3 linked regions of the Macaca fascicularis genome follow. The protein of the gene in region 3 purifies or fractionates together with the protein of the main gene of each other region. This does not show direct contact. Links are inferred from orthologs where the notes say so. Each region holds a gene or a part of one and is shown on either strand. Other genes may lie near its edges.

The links. The genes of interacting proteins can lie anywhere in the genome.
Region 1: the proteins of SFN (region 3) and HDAC7 purify together in Homo sapiens (affinity purification with mass spectrometry; 3 studies listed by BioGRID and IntAct, with this or other methods). This does not show direct contact. The link is inferred for Macaca fascicularis from reciprocal best matches to the Homo sapiens genes SFN and HDAC7.
Region 2: the proteins of SFN (region 3) and GAN purify together in Homo sapiens (affinity purification with mass spectrometry; 3 studies listed by BioGRID and IntAct, with this or other methods). This does not show direct contact. The link is inferred for Macaca fascicularis from reciprocal best matches to the Homo sapiens genes SFN and GAN.

What each region holds. Positions count from the first base shown.
Region 1 is NC_088385.1:54,537,829-54,542,103, reverse strand, and holds part of HDAC7 (histone deacetylase 7), read left to right. Parts: intron 1-990; coding exon 991-1,178; intron 1,179-1,310; coding exon 1,311-1,401; intron 1,402-1,738; coding exon 1,739-1,850; intron 1,851-2,426; coding exon 2,427-2,542; intron 2,543-2,790; coding exon 2,791-2,916; intron 2,917-3,649; coding exon 3,650-3,741; intron 3,742-3,931; coding exon 3,932-4,042; intron 4,043-4,180; coding exon 4,181-4,275. UniProt on the Homo sapiens protein: Responsible for the deacetylation of lysine residues on the N-terminal part of the core histones (H2A, H2B, H3 and H4).
Region 2 is NC_088394.1:77,248,043-77,252,317, forward strand, and holds part of GAN (gigaxonin), read left to right. Parts: intron 1-835; coding exon 836-985; intron 986-1,259; coding exon 1,260-1,396; intron 1,397-1,621; coding exon 1,622-1,750; intron 1,751-4,275. UniProt on the Homo sapiens protein: Probable cytoskeletal component that directly or indirectly plays an important role in neurofilament architecture.
Region 3 is NC_088375.1:208,247,403-208,251,249, reverse strand, and holds SFN (14-3-3 protein sigma), read left to right. Parts: upstream 1-1,796; 5' UTR 1,797-1,860; coding exon 1,861-2,607; 3' UTR 2,608-3,091; downstream 3,092-3,847. UniProt on the Homo sapiens protein: Adapter protein implicated in the regulation of a large spectrum of both general and specialized signaling pathways. Binds to a large number of partners, usually by recognition of a phosphoserine or phosphothreonine motif.

The DNA.
Region 1 (4,275 bases), on a different chromosome or scaffold from region 3:
TGCTGAAGGAGACCTCTCCAGGAAGGCTTCTCCACTTGTGTGCCCCACCATGGGGCCGGCCTGCTCCCACCCCACCCACTTCCCCTTCTCCAGGATAAGCCCGATGCAACAGCTCCGTCTCCCAGTGTCTCAGCCTCTCTGGCTGCTCAGCCCAGCCTGGTCCAGCTGGCTAGGCTGGCATGGACCCTAGTCTGGTGGCTAGTTATAAATAGCCCCTGCACCCACAGCCTTGGCAGGGTGCTCCTAGCATGGGTGCAGAGGATTCTTGAGAAGAGGCAGCCGTGCCTGCCATCCTGACCATGCCAGGCCCAGAGCCGCCGTGGAGGCACCCAGGAGCAGGCCCAAGGGCACATGGGCCCTGTGAGCTGAGGAAGCTGCCCTGGGCACAGGGTTTTGCAGGCCCAACGTGGCTGGTCAGGTCTGGCTGTAGGCTTGAGGCATCACTTTATCTCATGACTGGGGATAGAGCATGGGAGGGTGGCGACCCAGAGGGCCTGTGAGGCTTGGGGCTGGAGGCGGAACAAAGTGGGCCTGTTTGCCTGCCTGATTGCTTCCTTTGAGCCCAACTCATTAAAGGGCAGCTGGGCAAATCCTCTGATTCCAGGGAGGGATGAAGGGAGGGAGAAGGCAGGGCCAAGAATGTCCCACCATAGGACAATGTCCCATCATAGATCACCGTAGCCCTCAGCCCCAGGCCCAGGGAGGAGCATGTTTAGTGGAAGAGCACGGTGGTGAAGTCGGAAGGCTCCATTCCAGCACCACCAGTGATACAGTGTAACTGCGTTCAGTTCTGTGACTTTTTCTCACGAGTAAAATGGAATTGATAACACCTACCTTGCAGGACCATGACAGGATTAAGTGAGGAAAACCCCATGAGAGTGTTTTGCCATTGTCAAGTGAGCCTGAGGGAGGCTGATGGAGGACCAGGCTGTAGTCATGCCCCCGAGGACAAACTTTCCAGCTTACCCTGCTCCCTCTCTCTGTCCCCAGGCTGCCCCAGGCCCTGTGCAGACACACCAGGCCCTCAGCCCCAGCCCATGGACCTGCGGGTGGGCCAGCGGCCCCCAGTGGAGCCCCCACCAGAGCCCACATTGCTGGCCCTGCAGCGTCCCCAGCGCCTGCACCACCACCTCTTCCTAGCAGGCCTGCAGCAGCAGCGCTCGGTGGAGCCCATGAGGGTAAAGATGGAGCTCCCTGCACGTGGGGCCACCTTGAGCTTGGTCCCCAGCCTCCCCGCCTTCAGCCTCCCTAGACCCCAGTCTCAGTCCTCAACTTCTTGTTCCTTTCTGGGCTGCCGGCCCTGCCCACAGCTCTCCATGGACACACCGATGCCCGAGTTGCAGGTGGGACCCCAGGAACAAGAGTTGCGGCAGCTTCTCCACAAGGACAAGAGCAAGCGAAGTAAGGAGGACACCGCCCCAGCCCAGCCCAGCCCCACCAGCCGGGTGCCTGTGGCTGCCTGTATAGCTTGTGAGGGGTGAGGTGGGAGGGGCGCAGCCAGCTGAGCCGAGGCTTTCCCCCTGCTTGCCTGGGCTCCGCCTGTGAATGTGTGTGGGATGTGGGGTCAGGTGGGGAGTGTCTGGAGGCTTCAGGGAGGGGTAGGGCCTTGGTCTTGGCTCTTGCGCGGGGAGTCCCTGGGACGCCTCCTACTGAGGATGGGGACAGGGCAGTGGCCAGGGAGTGCCATGAGGCTGCCTGTCCACCCACCTCCAGCCCCTTCGTGACTCTGCCCCTACAGGTGCTGTAGCCAGCAGCGTGGTCAAGCAGAAGCTGGCAGAGGTGATTCTGAAAAAACAGCAGGCAGCCCTAGAGAGAACAGTCCATTCCAACAGCCCCGGCATTCCCTACAGGTAACACCGTCCTCACCTGCCCTCCTGTCCCCACATGCAGCCTCCACCCCCACCCCCGTGTTAGCCATGAGCACACACACACGCCTCCTTCCTCCCCAGCTGCCACAACCAGTCCTTAACCTTCCTCTAAACATAATGCCCCCAAGCCCCTCTCTCAACTGATACGTGCCCTCTTCTCTCTTTAAATTCTCTCCCCACCCCCACCCCACCCGAGGCCCTTCACACACACATACACACACCCTACTGGCTTTTTTCTTGCACAGGAGCCCCTTCTCTCTTTATATTTTCCCTGAGCACAAAAATGTCCTGGTTCCCAGAGCAGGTTCCTAGTGCAGGTGACAGAGCTCCCAGTGGGCTCTTCACCTACGCACCAAGCACCTGGCTTCTATGCCTAGGTCAGAGCTCTGCACTGTAGCTGCTGGAGAGGACAGGTGGCCCACTGCTGCCACCTGGAGATGGTCCCCATTCCTACCAGCCCCACCTTGCCCAGCCCCACAGGTCCCAGGGCTGGTGCTCAGGGCGGTGCCCGTGCAGTGTCCCCACCCCTCTGAAGCAGCCTTGGCACTCATTCTGTAGAACCCTGGAGCCCCTGGAGACGGAAGGAGCCGCCCGCTCCATGCTCAGCAGCTTTTTGCCTCCTGTTCCCAGCCTGCCCAGTGACCCCCCAGAGCACTTCCCTCTGCGCAAGACAGGTGAGCTGGACAAACAGGTGGGACCTTTCAGGCAAAGGAAGGGGGAAGGGCCTTGGACATAGGGGAGGAGTGTGCAGGGGTGGGCGGGCTGGACTGGGCCAGGCCAGGGGATCGTCGGTAGGCTAGGATCTTCGTTCTGGTTCTGCCTTCTCTTTCCTTGACTGATAGAGATGACTGGGACTGAGGGACTAAAGGATGGAAAAAAAGAAGGGTTGGGGGGGCCTGAGTGACGCTGGTGCTCCCTGCAGTCTCTGAGCCCAACCTGAAGCTGCGCTATAAGCCCAAGAAGTCCCTGGAGCGGAGGAAGAATCCACTGCTCCGAAAGGAAAGTGCGCCCCCCAGCCTCCGGCGGCGGCCTGCAGAGACCCTCGGAGGTGAGGGCCGGCTGAGCGGGTGCAGTTGCCATCCTCAAACCTGGCTGGTCTTGTCCCTTTGGGTCAGGCCCTACCTAGACAGGGGTCCCCTCCTTAGGACTGCCATGCATGGTTGTATGGGGGGTGTCCCACATACTTGCCGAAGCACGGGAGTTGGGGCTGAAACCCAGTCCCTGCTCTGTTAGCTAAGGTGACATCTCCCAGAAAAGAGGACACCCTTCAAAAAATTGTGCAGAGGTTCTGTAGGCCAAAGGTGGCCTGCCTTCTTCCTGCTCTTATGGGAAGAAAGCAGGAGGCGAGGCGTGGTGGCTCACACCTATAATCCCAGCACTTTGGGAGGCCGAGGCAGGTTGATTACCTGAGGTTAGGAGTTTGAGACCAACCTGGCCAACATGGTGAAACCCTGTGTCTACTAAAAATACAAAAATTAGCCGGGCATGGTGGTGCATGCCTGTAGTCTCAGCTACTTGGGAGGCTGAGCCAGGAGAATCGCTTGAACCCAGGAGGTGGAGGTTGCAGTGAGCCGGGATCGTGCCATTGCACTCCAGCCTGGGAAACAGAGCAAGACTGTGTCTCAAAAAAAAAAAAGAAAAAAGAAAAAAAGGGAAAGCAGGAAGCAAAGGTGCCCGTTAAGGAAGGGGCTGCTCTTGGGTCTCCTGCACCAGGTGGCCTGGCTGTGCCCTCCTGCCCACCCTGGCCTCTGACTGCACTTCCCTCTCTCCCCAACCCTCAGACTCCTCCCCAAGTAGTAGCAGCACGCCTGCGTCAGGGTGCAGCTCCCCCAATGACAGCGAGCACGGCCCCAATCCCATCCTGGGCTCGGAGGTAAGGCCTTGCCGAGACTGGGCTCTCCTGGGGCAGTTCTGAGGCTCAGTCTTCTTCCAGCAAGCGGCCCTACCCGGGCTGAGGCTGCAGGGTCTTGGCAGCCCCTGCCAGAGCCTCCTGGGTGTTCTGGGGAAGGTGCGCTGGGGTAGAGGTCTGGGACCGGTGACCCTCGCCCTGCTCCCTATGGCAGGCGCTCTTGGGCCAGCGGCTGCGGCTGCAGGAGACTTCTCTGGCCCCGTTCGCCTTGCCGACAGTGTCCTTGCTGCCCGCAATCACGCTGGGGCTGCCCGCCCCTGCCAGGGTGAGTGGCTGGGGTGCCCACCCCCACTCCAAGCCCCCCCAGCTTCTTTCACTCCCTTTTCCTGCTGCCTCACCCCAACACCTTCATTGTTCTCTGCTGGAATCTTCTCCCCCATGACTTCTCCCGCCTCTCCCCCAGGCTGACAGTGACCGCAGGACCCATCCGACTCTGGGCCCTCGGGGGCCGATCCTGGGGAGCCCCCACACTCCCCTCTTCCTGCCCCATGGCCTGGA
Region 2 (4,275 bases), on a different chromosome or scaffold from region 3:
TCATTTTCTTTTTGTGAGCTATTATGGGTTAAAAAGTGAGGATTTTCTGAGGAACTCACCATGTATTTCATAACCTTGTTTTGAGAAATGACTTTGGCCTCTCTGGCTGCTGTGCTGGAAGAGGGGCTGCTAGGGAAGCCAGAAATCTTAAAGAAGCATTACCGGGGCGGGGCGCGGTGGCTCACGCCTGTAATCCCAGCACTTTGGGAGGCCAAGACGGGCGGATCACAAGGTCAGGAGATCGAGACCACGGTGAAACCCCGTCTCTACTAAAAATACAAAAAATTAGCCGGGCGCGGTGGCGAGTGCCTGTAGTCCCAGCTACTCAGGAGGCTGAGGCAGGAGAATGGCGTGAACCCGGGAGGCGGAGCTTGCAGTGAGCCGAGATCACGCCACTGCATTCCAGCCTGGGTGACAGAGCGAGACTTCGTCTCAAAAAAAAAAAAAAAGACGCATTACCGGAGAAATGGTTTTGAACGTGTTACTTCCAGCTGGAACACTGGGAAAAAGAGATGTCTCTAATTTTTAAAAATAATTCCACCTTTTATTTTATACTCGGGGTAGGTATAAACCTACATGTGTAGGTTTGTTACGTGTGTATATTGCATCATGCTGAGGTTTGCAGTAAGATTAATCCAGTCTCCCAGGTACTGAGCATCATACCCAATAGTTAGTTTTTCAGCCTTTGCTCCCCTCCCTGCCTCCCTGCTCTAGGAGTCCCCAGTGGCTATTGTTGCCATCTTTATGTCTCTCTAATTTTTATGAAGTATATGAATATTAGCTTTTAATATGATCCTTGGCCTTGTGTGTTCAGAGATCGCTGATGTCGTTTCAGGCAAGACATAACTTCGGAATTGTGGAGATAGATGGGATGCTGTACATTTTGGGAGGAGAGGATGGTGAAAAGGAGCTGATTTCCATGGAGTGTTACGATATTTATTCTAAAACCTGGACAAAGCAACCTGATTTGACCATGGTCAGAAAGGTGAGGACCGCATTTTGTGGTAACTAGTTTGTGTACACATTGGATTTTAAACTTAATGTGTCTTCATATCCTGAATAAACCTTTAATATAACTGATAGTGTTAAAAGAATTAACTTTATAGAAGTCTGCCTTTATTGGTAGTTTGCCTTCCCTGTCATCAGCCACACACCAAGATAGGAAGGTGGGCGTGTATGAGAGTTTACCCTGGTGGTGGGCACCACCTGACCTGAATGAGAAAAGTTGCCTCTCCCCCACCATTGTTTTCTACTTTCAGATCGGCTGCTATGCAGCTATGAAAAAGAAAATCTACGCCATGGGTGGAGGCTCCTATGGAAAGCTTTTTGAGTCTGTGGAGTGTTATGATCCCAGGACCCAGCAGTGGACTGCCATATGTCCCCTGAAAGAGAGGAGGTACACGGATGTGGGTGAACTCTTCACTGGGTCTGGAGCCCTTACCCTTACCCTGCCTGGGTTTTGTTCTTTTCTTTCAGAGTAACCTTTTCTTTGACTTGGCATTTCCTGAGAAAGGAAGGCCTACATAGTAATGCTGCAGAGTTAAGCCAGCATAAGAGGAACGAGGGAGTGAGATCTCGCGTTGTACTGCTTGTGCCTGATACGCTGTGTGTGGCCTTTCAGGTTTGGAGCAGTGGCCTGTGGAGTTGCTATGGAGCTGTATGTGTTTGGGGGAGTCCGAAGTCGTGAGGACGCCCAGGGTAGCGAGATGGTAACTTGCAAGTCCGAGTTCTACCATGACGAGTTTAAAAGGTAACTAAGAATGGTTTCACGTAGCTACTGCAACTTTTTCTTTGTGCTTTCAAAGTTGTATTTTAGCTTTGTTTAGTTTTGTTTTCAGTCACTTGATTAAATTATGGGTTTAGGAGATATGTCTAATGCATACTAGGTATTTATTCAGTGACTTCACAAGTGCTAGTAACTTAAAATGTCTCTAAATAGAAAATGTTTCTAATATGTAGATCAGATCTTGACAGTTGCTTAAAATCATTATTGGCTCCCTATAGCTTTTAGGAAAGAGTTTAAAACTCCTTACCTTGTTGGGCGTGGTGGCTCACACCCGTAATCTCAACATTTAGGGAAGTAGAAACTGAAGATTGCTTGAGCCCAGGAGTTGGAGATTTGCCTGGGCCACATAACAAGACCCTGTGTTCTCCAAAGAAAAATAAATAAACTCCTTAACTTAGCATATGTGGCCTTTTGTGATATGGCCTTTGCTTTTTCTGCTACTAACCTGGATACTTTACACTGAGCCACTTTCCCCTGCGAAATCAAGTATGATTGTCTCAGCTCTGTGTTCATATGCTGCTTCTTGCCTAAAAGCTTCCTTCCCGCTGAGCATCCAGTTAGCTTGGCCTTTTTCAAAACTGCTTAGTTATCAAAACCTGGAGAAAGCCTTCTCACACCTTCTCCTCTGATTTAAATCCCTTCATCTGTGATCCCATGCACTCCAGACAGGTCTCTCTCTGGGGTTGTAACTGTTAACTGCAAGCAACTTCAGGGCAAGGTCCACCTTCGTCAGCTCTGTATCCTGGCTTCCAACATCCTACCTGCTTGTATCAGATACTTAGTAAAATGTTGATTAAGTGGCTAAAGCGTGGTGTCCGAGATTCTTAAAACCTCTGAAAAGTGCCACATATGTCTTGTAGAGTCGATAACATCCTTCTCGATGTCTTCTCTCTTTCCTCACGCATTTTATTGTTGTAACCACTGAACAGTATTTTTATTGCGGTAATATGTTTAAATCCTAAGGGGAAATGGGTATGCTAACCATAATTTTATTTGAGTAGTTCAGTTATGTTACCAGAAGAGGGTGCCATAACATAATGTTTAATTTCATGCTGTTTTAGATTAAGGCAGTCAGTGAGCAGTTACAAAGATGCTGGAAATGCATGTAAATGCTACCTAACTTGTATTTTAAATTTAGGATATTTGCGTAGCCTTTTTTTCTAATTATAGGAATAGACTATCTTAGGAAAGTTTATTAGAGAGCAATTTAGAGGATACTTGCTGTAGTGGGGCCGATTTTCAGACTTCTCTACATTTTTCCTTCCTTGTTACATGACTGGGAGGGCTGACGGCCCAAGGGATGAAGGCCGTTTTTTTTTTTTTTTTTTTTTTTTTTTTTTTTTTTTTTTGAGACGGAGTTTCACTCTGTCGCCCGGGCTAGAGTGCAGTGCCATGATCTCAGCGTACTGCAAGCTCCGCCTCCCAGGTTCAAGCAATTCTTCCCCCTCGGCCTCCCGAGTAGGTGGGACTACAGGCACGCACCACCATACCCGGCTAATTTTTGTGTTTTCAGTAGAGACAGGGTTTCACTATGTTGGCCAGGTTGGTCTCGAACTCCTGACCTCATAATCCACCCGCCTCAGCCTCTCAAAGTGCTGAGATTACAGGCACGAGCCACCACACCTGGCCTATCAGGTTGTTACATATTTGTAGTGGATAAGCTTTTAATACAACTATTACTTGCTTTAAGTTCATAATAATTAAACATAAGACTGTTGTTCCTTCTTTGCTATTTAAAAGCACTTCCAGGCCAGGCACAGTGGCTCAAGCCTATATTCCCAACACTTTGGGAGGCCAAGGCAGGCGGATCACTTGAGGCCAGGAGTTCAAAACCAGCCTGGCCGACATGGTGAAACCCTGTCTCTAACTAAAAGTACAAAAAAAAAAAAAAATTATCCAGGCCTAGTGGCACACGCCTGTAGTCCTGGCTGCTCAGAAGGCTGAGGCATGAGAATTGGTTGAAACCAGGAGGTGGAGGGTGCAGTGAGTCGAGATTGTGCCACAGCACTCTAGCCTGGGCAACAAAGTAAGACCCTGTCTATAAATAAATAAATAAATAAAAGCACTTCCAAATAAAATTCATGTATGTTTGGATCCTTATTCCTAAGCTCTCCAATGTTTGTAAATAGAATAAAGAAAGCTGTTAATTTATCTTATCAATGTAAGATTCTAACATGTTTAGATAACATTAAACACACATACAACACCAAATGCCATGTATTTATTTAATCTTCAAAACAGTACTCTGAAGTGTATGTAGGTACTGTTACTATTCCTATTTTCCATATGAGGAAATCACAGCACAGAAAGGGTGAGCGATGTGCCCACAGACAAACAAGGAGCAAGGAGCTGAGGCGGGATCTGAACTCAGGCATTCTGGCCCCAGAGTCCACCTTTTCAACTACCACACTAGGTTGACTTTAAAATGTAGGCTTTCCTATATTGATAGAACAAAACAACATGGAGGAGTAGTTTATTTCTTAAAAGAT
Region 3 (3,847 bases):
AGTCCAGACATGTCCCTACTCCTCCTTGTGGCAAAAGAGAAGAATCTCATCTTTGGTCCCCAGAGTTCTGGCCTAAGCCTCCCTCTAGGAGGGAAGATGAGTGTTCAGACACTCAGGGTACCTGGGGGAGACACAGGCCTGTGAAATTATCCTAGCTCAACTATTAGGCGGGCAGAATCCCAGTGAAAGGAGCCGTACCCGAGGCCCATCTAAGCTTTGGCTAGGGGTGGGGCAGATAAGCAGGAATCCATCCCTGTAGGCTCAATGCCAACACCCTTTGGTGAAACTCCTGATGAAACTTGAGGCCAGGGCCCCAGCAAGCAGGGAAAGAAGGTTGGCAACAGAGGTCTCCATCTGAGGACTCTGCCAGGGGTCAGAGGTGGGGTAATGGTCAAAAGGAAGGAAGTGGCTCATGCCCATAATCCCAGCAGTTTGGGAGGCTGAGGCAGGAGAATTGCTTGAGCCCAGGAGTTTGAGACCTGCCTGGGCAATGTAGTGAGATCCTGTCTCTATTTAAAAAAAAAAAAAAGGAAGGAACAGGGAAACTTCTGAGAGACAGGCTGGGGGAGTAGCTGGGATTGCTGCCCCATAAAACAGAATGGTATGTGTCACTGCCACCTCCCTTTCTCAGTCCTCTCTCTCCCCAGGTTGCTAGCGTCCCCCCTGGGGGATCAAACTGGACTGCTTCCCAGCCTCAGACAGAGAGCAGTCTGAGTCAGGCAGGAAAGTGGGACAGCCGGGGAGCTGGACCCCACCCTCTGTGAACCCCACTGGTACCTGATGGCATGTGGCTTGGAGAGGGCAAGTGACCTGGTGTGGAGGGCCAGAGGGTAAATCCTCAAACAAGTGGCAACAGGCCACCAACTTGAAAGGGAAAATTGTGTAGTGATGGGAAATGTGTCCAACAAACCTACTGGGTGACTAATTACAAAGGCTGGGCTGGAGCGTCAGAGGCTGCTTGTTAAACACTTCATTAAGTGGCACTCTGAAAGCTGCCACCTGCGCATTCTGGGAGCTCAGAGGGGACCCTGAGGGGGAGTGAGGCCTGAGGGATGGAACCATCTTCAGGTAGATTGAGAAAGAGCCTGGATCTCACTTCCAAACACAGCCTGGAGCTCATAGGTCAGAGACTTCAACGGGAGAAAAGCTAAAGGAAGCAGGGTGCAGAAAGGAGTTTCAGGGAAGTGGTGGCTATGTGACTTTGAGCAAATCTCACCCCTCTCTGAGACTTAGTGTTCCCATCTCTGTGGTCCTGTGTGTGTCACAGAGACACAGTGGGGATTAAATTCGATGGTGAATATGAAAGTGCTTGGGAAACTCTATGGCCCTACCTAAACATAAGTTATCCTCACCTGAATCAAGGGGAGAAGTTACCTGGCAGGATTGGGAACCCCATCCTCCTGAACCTTTATGGGCTCTGTCGAGGCAGAAGCAGCCAGGGGCTAAAGCCGCCCTTAGCCTCTGTAAGGACGCTGTGAAGGAGGATCTGATTTGAGAAGCCAGGCAGTTTCCTGATGTGAGCAGCCATATGATGCCAGCCCCGAACAAGAGGGGGCAGCCTAGAGCCTGGAAAGGTGCCTGTGCAGGTGGGGCCCACGCCCAGATTTCTTCTGCTGACTGTTCTGATGACTCACCCCCACATCCCAGCCTTTTTACCTTGACTGCAGAGCCGGAAAGGGTGTGGGGAGGAGAGGAGAGGGAGGCAGGTCTTGGGCCCTGGTCCCGCCCCCTGCTCCTCCCCACCCTTCTCTGGGCCTGGCCACCCAGCCAAAAGGCAGGCCAAGAGCAGGAGAGGCACAGAGTCCGGCATTGGTCCCAGGCAGCAGTTAGCCCGCCGCCCGCCTGTGTGTCCCCAGAGCCATGGAGAGAGCCAGTCTGATCCAGAAGGCCAAGCTGGCAGAGCAGGCCGAACGTTATGAGGACATGGCAGCCTTCATGAAGGGCGCCGTGGAGAAAGGTGAGGAGCTCTCCTGCGAAGAGCGAAACCTGCTCTCAGTAGCCTACAAGAATGTGGTGGGCGGCCAGAGGGCTGCCTGGAGGGTCCTGTCCAGTATTGAGCAGAAAAGCAATGAGGAGGGCTCGGAGGAGAAGGGCCCCGAGGTGCGTGAGTACCGGGAGAAGGTGGAGACTGAGCTCCGGGGCGTGTGCGACACCGTGCTGGGCCTGCTGGACAGCCATCTCATCAAGGAGGCTGGGGACGCGGAGAGCAGGGTCTTCTACCTGAAGATGAAGGGCGACTACTACCGCTACTTGGCCGAGGTGGCCACTGGTGACGACAAGAAGCGCATCATCGACTCAGCCCGGTCAGCCTACCAGGAGGCCATGGACATCAGCAAGAAGGAGATGCCGCCCACCAATCCCATCCGCCTGGGCCTGGCCCTGAACTTTTCCGTCTTCCACTACGAGATCGCCAACAGCCCCGAGGAGGCCATCTCGCTGGCCAAGACCACTTTCGATGAGGCCATGGCTGATCTGCACACCCTCAGCGAGGACTCCTACAAAGACAGCACCCTCATCATGCAGCTGCTGCGAGACAACCTGACGCTGTGGACGGCCGACAACGCCGGGGAAGAGGGGGGCGAGGCTCCCCAGGAGCCCCAGAGCTGAGTGTTGCCCACCACCGCCCCACCCTGCCCTGCCCCCTTCAGTCCCCCACCCTGCCGAGAGGACTAATATGGGGTGGGAGGCCCCACCCTTCTCCCCCAGGCGCTGTTCTTACTCCAAACGGCTCCGTGGAGAGGGACTGGCAGAGCTGAGGCCACCTGGGGCTGGGGATCCCACTCTTCTTGCAGCTGTTGAGCGCACCTAACCACTGGTCATGACCCCAGCCCTGCTCTCCGCACCGCTTCCTCCCGACCCCAGGACCAGGCTACTTCTCCCCTCCCTCTTGCCTCACTCCTGCCCCTGCTGCCTCTGGTCGTAGGAATTGAGGAATGTCCCGCCTTGTGGCTGAGAACTGGACAGTGGCAGGGGCCGGAGATGGGTGTGTGTGTGTGTGCGCGCGCGCGCCAGTGCAAGACCGACATTGAAGGAAAGCATGTCTGCTGGGTGTGACCATGTTTCCTCTCAATAAAGTTCCCCTGTGACACTCCTCCTGTCTCTTTCCAGTTCTTGGCGATGGGTTGGGAGTGGAACTGGAATCTGATTTAGAGATCCTGACTTTCGACCTCTGAGTTAGGGCCCTGACCTCCCTGGGTGGCTCAGTGACCTGCACGCAAGACTTTGAGTCCAGGTGAGGCCGGGGTCCGGCTGTCTCCATCAGGGCGGCCCCAGTCAAACTGGATGGGACCGGGAGGGTCAGGTGAACCCACAGGAGGCGCCGAGCCTCCTCTGCAGGGCCGAGGGGAGGTGAGTGGGAGCCGCAGCGCGGGAGGCTGACGAGCTCAGGTGGAGCGGGACAGGAAATAGTGAAGTCTCCGGCATGAGATCTAAGGACAGCGCTGCAGTAGTGAGCGGCACTGAGCACCCGATTTACAGGCGGGTCACAGTCTCATCAAGGGCTCAGATCTCAGCGGAGGGAAGTACGATTTGAGGCAGGGGTGCAGTGCCGCCATAAAAGCCCAGATCTTAGGAGAGGGTCACGTCCCAAAGAGTTCGGAAATGGAGACAAAAGGAAACGGGCTGGTGGGGAGGAAGGACGAGCTGGGTGGGAATGGCCGCTGGGAGCATTGCCTGCCGAGCCAGCCGCCTCCGCTCTCTGCAGCCAGCAACACGCCGGAACCTGCGGCCGCATTGCTCGGTCTCGCCTTCACAGCCAGGACTGGAGGCGGGGCCCGAGGCTCTGCCACCCAATCACAGGAGGGAGCTGCCCCAGGGTACCACCCCGGGGGACCCGACGAGCCAATGG